2 linked regions of the Arabidopsis thaliana genome follow. The protein of the gene in region 1 interacts with the protein of each later gene in a pairwise test. Each region holds a gene or a part of one and is shown in the gene's direction. Other genes may lie near its edges.

Region 1 (3,007 bases):
CTTCTCCTTCCCTGGACCATGCTGCTTCCTCGGGACTTCTTCGTTTGCTTTATTCCCAGCCATAGCTAAAGTTGCTATCTCGCCGGAGGTTCAAATTTCGTCGGAATAAACAGTAACTTTTTCTTGGCTTCGCCGGGAAAAACAGTAACTTTCTCTTCCCCGGATGTGGGAGTTCAGTGACTCAATTCAACTACCCAACAATTCGAAGTTATGTCGAATTTTGAAACAATGGATACTGAATTTCGTTTCGCTTTCTAATTCTCTCTCAAATCTCTCCGTTACTCTCTTCTCTTTTTCTTTTTCTTCGGTTTCTTCGTTTCAGTTTTTTTGTTTTGTCTTTTTCAAAACTGAACCGCATCAACTAAACCGAAACCAACTGCTGTAGGGTTTGGTTTATGCCATCAACTGAACCGATACGAACTGCTGCACGGTTTGGTTTGTGCCATTATTAAGTTTTCCCAAGGTAATTTGGTCCGAAATTGAATGAAAAGACAAACCGTAAAAACCAGTTCTCACTTTGACAAACGGTGAGAGCAAATCTTTTTTCGTCCACTTCTGTAAATTTTTTTTTAATGGTTAGTTTGCTTTTAATATTAAAATATTAAATATATTGGTTTTGAGACACTAAAAAAATAATTATGCAATGAGAATGCTCTAATGGTCTAATCTATGGTTTTCCGTTGATTAATACAAACCTTATTTTTTATTACTTGTGTCAAATTTCACCGTCCTATTTTTGGTGTCTTCAAACATCTTTGTTTTATGTTTACCTTTTTTGTTTTAATTATATTATTAAAGATTGTGTCTTGGTTTGAAGGAAAGAAAAATCTTTAGATGCATATTCTATTGTTTTTAAGCTCTTAATTTTTTATTAGAGTTTCAATTGGCTTAACTACAGTGACAAATAAAAGAATTAATGATCGATTGTGTTTCGACGATGATTTTTTTACCGAAATATATACCCAACGACCAAGGTTGATCTTGGAAATCGTACGATTACTCATCGAACACATGTTGTTTTGCACGCAGTTGTTGACACGTGGGTTTGGATGGAGTCAAGACACAATTTCTTTTGCAGTTAAACAGTAATCTTATAAGCTCATATTGTACCTCAATATTTTTATAATCTTTTTTGGGATTTTTGGTATAGTCTATGTATATGTAAATAAAATATTAAAATATTGCAATTGAGAAAGAAGAAAAATTTAAATATTTTAGATGCTTAAAAAATACAATTGACATAAAAGAGTATTTTATGGACAACATGAAATATATCAAAAATAATAATCCTTTTCAAATTTCTATTCGAGTAGCAATTTAGTTTTAGGTCTTTGAGAAGAAAAGAAAAAAAAAAGCAATTTAGTTTCAGGCATTTATGTAAACAATAATGATAAAATAGTATTACTAATTCAAATATATACGACCGTCATTTTCGTGAGGCTAAAGGTCAAAAATCTATTACAATACTTTTGTGAAGCCCATTATGTCAATATAACCGTTAAACCTCATCATAGCCGTTACATCTTCTCCCCAACGGGCGCTTAGTTTCTTACTTTACCTATATAAAACTTGAAACAAACAAAAAAAACATAATTTCACAAAACATCAATGGCTTCTTTTCACAGAAAGTTATGTTTGTTCCAAAACATTCTCGTATCGTGTCTGAATTTCACTCTCCTCCTCCTCTCCCTCTGTTCTTTCGTACCAATCATTCTTCTTAGAAACCCTCCAACTTCACTCGGTTTAGCCTTCCTCGCAGTCTCACTCGTCTCTCTGATCTCCTCTTTCGGTAGTGCCTCTTCGCACCAATCTCGATCATGTTTCATCGCGCGGATAACGCTTCATGTTTCCTCACTGACGGGTCAGTTTATTGCAGTTTTAATGTTGTTTAGTAGAGAGAAACAGAGTCTTTCTTTGCTGATATCGACTCGAGACCCTAGAGAGGCTAAAGCTTTGGTTAGAGTAGAATGTGGTGTTTTCGTGGCGATGATTCCGTTACAGATAATGGTTCTAGTGCTGGCTTGTTTGTTACATTGTTATTGGGTTAGAGAGTTCGAAGGGTTAGATGTTGAGAGTGAAGATTCTTTTAGAAGAAAATGTAACCGAAGAGTCTCGACCGCTGAAGATGGGACTAGTTCGGATTTAAAGAAAATGGAGTTGGACGAGAAGATGAATGTGAAACATGTTCAGTGGGTTAAAACAGATTTCGAAGGTTAAAGTGTTTTTATGAATCTATAGTTTGTGATTATTGTTCAAACTTCAAAGTTATATTTTATGTCTTAGTTAAGAAAATTATTTATTTGCTGTTACAAAACTTTGTTAGGTTTTCTACAATGTTGTAAGTAATATGTATGGCTACTTGAATTGTCCTAGTAATGGTTGATCTTGTATTTTTTTCTCTCGTACATCCACCATTAGTGGGTAATTTACATACATACACTAGTACAAAGATGCATGTATTTATTTTGCATTCTTTCATAACCATAAGAAAGATGTCTTAATATCATCATACTACGATCCATTAGCTGTTCCTAAGATCTCAGAGATTCAAAGCAAATTATTCGGCTCAACGATCAAACACATCCTAATGTAAAAAGAAGAAGAACCAAAAACAACCTAATCCAAAAGGGAAAAGCACCAAAAACCTAACTAGAAACTCTTTAAGACTGGACTCGGGTTTTGGAAACCTCTACGGTTGTATGTGATACCGTATCTCGTATCAATATCTTGACCTTGGGTGAGGTGGTGGCAAGCTTCAACAGGTTCTTCAATATCTTGAGCTTGGGTGAAGCGGTGGCAAGCTTCAACAGATTCTTCAATATCTTGAGCTTGGGTGAAGCGGTGGCAAGTTCCAATAGATCCTTTGTGAGTTGCACCTTTTGGGGGTCATCCATTGGAGATGACAACTTTCACAACTTCAAGACACTCCATTTCCAGTAAGAAATGGCTAATCTGTTTCAGCACGTGTGCACTTCCTTGATAATGCATGATACTCAATATCTTTACT
Region 2 (5,115 bases), on another chromosome or scaffold:
CAAAGAACCACAAACATCTCCTAATCCTCCTGTTTTCGAGTAAGGAGCCGCCTCGGATGTAACGAAAACAAGGTTATTGACAACTTCAGCTTTTCCACTCGGAATCCCAACCTCTGCAGCTCCTTCTTCAACAGCTCTATTTCCAGGTACGCCAAAGTCAGCCATTACAATTTGATCAATAGCCTCTTTCTTCTCTTCATGATGTGTAATTTCTCCTGTGCTAGTGCTAACTGTTTGTTGATCACCTGTACAAGGAAAAATCGAGTTCATCTTCGAGATTCTGAGCAAAATCGTGCTACTTTATATCAGAATTTTTTGAATATGAAAGATTCTGAAATTTGAAAAACGTAATAGCTTTGAATCTGAGGACCACAAGCAAAATTCAAGAGAATCATTCACTTTTTACAAATTGAAATCACATTCGATAAACCATCACAAAATCCCTAGATTATGCACAAATCAGAGAATAAATCACTGTTCGTTGAGGAAATTGGAAGAAACACTATGAAGAACTCAATCACGAGTTTAACGACATTTACCAGGAGGAGTGAGCTGAAAGCCAAGAACGGAGCCAGAACCATCTCTCTCTGCGTCTGTGATAAATCTCTCTTCATCAGACTCACGAGAGTCACCGGAGAAGGAAGAAGAACGACGAAGCAACAATGACCGTCCGATACTGAATCTCCGTCGAAAACGAGGAAATCCGAGACTGGCGATCGGACGGAAATGGCGGATCCGGTTGAATCCAACGAACGGCTCGAATTTAACGGAGCCACTGATTTGAAGAGACGCCATTGATCAATTAAAGAGTGAGAGTTTCTTCGACTGTTACAGATTTATGTTTGATTTCGTCTGGTTGTTGGGGAAGATTGAAACCACCTGTGGCCTATCTACTACGTAAAGAATCTCCTTCCAGCTTCGCCGACATGCTTCCAAAACTTTAAAGTTAACCACAGAGAAAGAGTACACTAAAACCTTTATTCTTTGCCAAAACAAATTTTTTTTTTTTGTTTGATATTTTAGTATGAAACAGAATCAATTTTAATTTTATTCCTTAAAACACATTATCATTTCCATAAGAGTCATAACCAACATAAATATGTAAAAATTTCGAACCAACAAAAATAATTTCAATAGTTGCAACAAATATTTTCTGATCTATGCAATTTTTGCCTTTGGTTTTATAAAATTTACTCTCCGATATTTTAATGGTTTTATTGTCCCAAGAGGATCTATCAGAAAAGCGCGAAGATCAAGAACGAGTAAAAAAAAGATCACACACTTCTTGCCGAAATTGGAGCCTCATATTGTGCCACGTGTAAATTAGTGGGCTCCAGTTTATGTGTTCCAGCTTTATGGTGATTTACTTGGATTGGGCTTTTGGTTAATTTTATGGGCCGATTATTGTGAATGAAATATATAGGCCCAAGAAACAAATGTCTAATGGGCTTCATAATAAATAAGAAGTCATTAACTATACACGTTTTGAATATGGTTCGTTGTTTCCAACTAACTGTAACGTTTCCCACTTTCCTCGTCATTATGAGTTATTAAAGAGTTGACTACTAGTATTTTTATCATGTGATATTCATTTTCTGTAGTAATTTATTTTACGTGGTATCATACTATCACAGTTTGTATTTATTTAATCAATATTGCACCTTTCGTATTACTTCTAATATTTTTTAATCATTTAAAATCATTTTTCTAAAACCTTATGGATCAATTTCATGACATATACTGATGACAAAAAGAAGACATATACTATACCACACAATTTTTTTTTTTTGTTTTGAAACTGACATATATTAACATGTTTAAATAGAGTGCTAATTAACTATGACACCTTCCCTAATTACCAAAATCCAAAAGTAATCCTCGTTACGAATATTTAACCCCTCGTGCTTCCCTCGTGGGTATTATTTATGTATATATATAAAAGATCATATGATTGGACACGATAATTAGGAACAACTGTGTTTTTTTTTTAAATTTAAAAAAGAAAAAAGAAGAAAAGAGAGAGAGAGACTCACAAATCATAATATCTCCTTCATTAACTCATAATCACTTTAAAGAACATTGGAATCAGATTCATTACATAGGGATTGATATGGAAAAGTCAAACCAACCAGTTCATGTAACCTTGTCCGAATTGAAGGACGGAGATAAAGAAATCGTTGATGCTGAATTTTTGGTTGATCTTCTTGAGAGCTATAGATTTGGTAAAGATAATGTTCCCGCCCGAGAATTTCGATCCAAGGCGGCAGCGACGGCTCCGGCGCCGGTCAACACCACCGAGATAGAGTTGGAAGAGGATAATGATGGATCTCAAGCTCAAGGTACATTAGTCAACTTGTCAGTTTCTTACATGTTTTTTTGTCTTTTAATTTTTGGTACCTCTACTAATTGGTTAGGATCCTAATTTTTAACCGGACACAAACCTGCTTAACCGGTAGATCAATCTCTCGTTTATTTTTGGTATTAATTGCCATCGTAGGTAACAATTCTGTTAGTGAAAGTACATCATCGCTATTTTCCGATTCAGATCCAATAGTACTTGAGAGTACTGTGAGCGAAACCGGTTCAAACGAAGAATCTGAAACCGGTTCAAACGAAGAAAATGGTAATAATTGGTTAGAGTCGAGCTCCACAAACTTGCCAAATGTAGAGAACAAAAGGCAACGGAATGGAGAAGATTGTGAGATAGAAGAGGAAGAAGAAAATAACGAGAGATCATTATCGGATTCAGAAGAGAAGTCAAACCTAGAGAAGTTGCTTGGGACACAAGAAAACTATGAGCTTGGAAATGAGGATGAAGAAAAGAACGAGAGATCATCGTCAGATTCAGAAGAGAAGTCAAACCTAGAGAATTTGCTTGCGACACAAGAAAACTACGAGCTTTACTGTCCTAGCTGTAGCACATGTATCACCAGAAATGTGGTTCTCAAGAAAAGAAAACGAGGGAAGCACGTTAATTCATCTCTGGATCTGAAACCCGATATACCGGTTGTTGAACCGGACGAACCAAGCGACATTGAGGAGATGGAATCACCAGTTAAGGTTTATGTCCCTGAGACTCGGATTGAGGATGATCAAGAAGATAAAGAGGGAACTATCTTTACTTGCTTGGTTTGTGATCTAAAGTACTTCATCCGGTTAGGTAAATCAAACCTTAATTAAACCGGTTCTGAGTCAATTCTTTCCAGGTTTTCTTGGTTTTGTAAACTTGATGGATCAACCCTGGTTTTATATTTTAAATTTCAGGAACAAAGTTCTTACAACTTGATTATATCAGGGGAAAACCGGTTGAGAAATCAGGTATGTTATCGTGAATTGAAACAAAAATATTACTCCTCTCACCTAAACCGGACTAGACAAATTGATTTCAATTTGGGAAAAAATCAACAACGGTTTCTTTGATCATAAAAAATGTTTATAGGCTTATCTTTGGTATTTGAATATTCGATAGAACTACATATATTTTGTACCCAAAGAAAATTTGCAAACTATATGCAGTTGAAGAATATATAGATGTGAGGAAGAGTATAAACACCACACAATCACCACCACAAATTCAACCGGACGGAGAAAGATTCGCCATTGAGTTGTTAAAGAGCACCGTCTACGGCGGTCTCACTGAGACCATCACCAGCCTCGGCGTTGTATCATCTGCTTCTGCCTCTGGTTCCTCCACCAGTAAGTCTCTAGACTCCATTTTCCTTTTAGTTAGCAAACAAATGCGAGATTAGTTTATCGGCTATCTAATCATCAGATTGGTCCTTGTTATAAATAGTAACACTATATAATAATTTCGTCTATTATTTTTTGTTGTTGTTTCAGTGAATATATTGGCTCTTGCTGTCGCAAATTTGGCCGGTGGGCTCATCGTCCTCGCTCAAAACGTAATTACTTGAACCAAAAAACGTTTTCTCGTGCCACAGATTGCCTATGGGGTTTCTTATTTTAACCGGTTCGGGTTTTTTTTTATTGCAGTTTCAAGATCTAAGAAACAGTTCAGATCAAGAGAAAGATAGGTACGAGGAATTGTTAGGGAGACGTACTAAATCCCGGATACATATCTTAGTAGCGGTCATGTCTTACATTTTCTTCGGCCTAATTCCTCCGTTAGTTTACGCATTTTCCTTCTACGAAACCGGAATCAAGAACTACAAGCTCATCTCGGTTTTCTTGGGTTCTCTGGTTTGCGTAATTTTGCTCGGTTCGATCAAGGTCTATGTCCGAAAACCAACCAATTCATGTGGATCGACTAAAGCTTATCTCAAATCTGCGGCTTATTATACGTCTATTGTTGTTGCTTCTTGCGGAATCTCATACGTTGTCGGAGATATTATGGGAGAGTATATCGAGAAGCTCAGTTTGGTTGGTTTAGACCAGATCAGTATAACTTCACCATGTTATGGAATTAAACCCGAGGAGTGCCGGTTTACTTCCTTTTAATATACAGTGGGACTAAGAACCGGTCTGACCAACGTTGTATAATTTCTGTTCTAATTACTTACTAAATCTCTGTATCTTTTCTAGTAAAAAATCAAAACTAATGCTTTCATAGAATAAATGTGTTTTGAGGTTTTTCTTTAATGATGTCTTATCTCTTTCCGAATGAAATAATCGGAATGATGCGGTTTAACTGCGGATAAGATACAGTAAAATTTAAATAGTAACAAAGATATGGTTTCGTCACCATTCAAACTATGTGTATAACAATGTCAAGCTCCATAGGTATATAAGATTTGTATAATTGTAATTGAGGAGAGATTTTGACATGTTATATTGTTAGCCATATACAACAACTTTTTATATATTTAACCAGTTAGTTAAATCGTTTGATTCATTAAAAAATGAAATTTATTTATTTTTAGTAAAAAAATAAAAGATAAAGATATCTTTTGATCAATAAATACAGTCCACATATATATCAAGTCAACAAAATAAGATCATACTCCCAATTTTTACTCAAAATATAATGTAATTAAATGCTAAAGATATAAATGTAAATACAATGTTTTGGGTAATTTGATGTGACGACAAATAAAAAGAAGAAAGTATTAAGCTGACGTGTGATAAAGGAAGTGCGTGCGCCCGAAGCTTTCACAC

The links. The genes of interacting proteins can lie anywhere in the genome.
Region 2: the proteins of AT3G42725 (region 1) and MEB2 interact in a two-hybrid assay, tested with the Arabidopsis thaliana proteins (one large-scale study listed by BioGRID).

What each region holds. Positions count from the first base shown.
Region 1 is NC_003074.8:14,842,292-14,845,298, reverse strand, and holds AT3G42725 (Putative membrane lipoprotein), read left to right. Parts: upstream 1-1,580; 5' UTR 1,581-1,608; coding exon 1,609-2,217; 3' UTR 2,218-2,450; downstream 2,451-3,007.
Region 2 is NC_003076.8:8,262,614-8,267,728, reverse strand, and holds MEB2 (Vacuolar iron transporter (VIT) family protein), read left to right. Parts: upstream 1-1,980; 5' UTR 1,981-2,110; coding exon 2,111-2,339; intron 2,340-2,497; coding exon 2,498-3,160; intron 3,161-3,264; coding exon 3,265-3,318; intron 3,319-3,516; coding exon 3,517-3,696; intron 3,697-3,840; coding exon 3,841-3,902; intron 3,903-3,993; coding exon 3,994-4,458; 3' UTR 4,459-4,597; downstream 4,598-5,115. Other genes in the region: SS1 (Glycogen/starch synthases, ADP-glucose type), read right to left, coding at 1-245, 540-795. UniProt on the Arabidopsis thaliana protein: May sequester excess cytosolic iron and manganese into endoplasmic reticulum to reduce metal ion toxicity. Not essential for the accumulation of ER body components, including PYK10.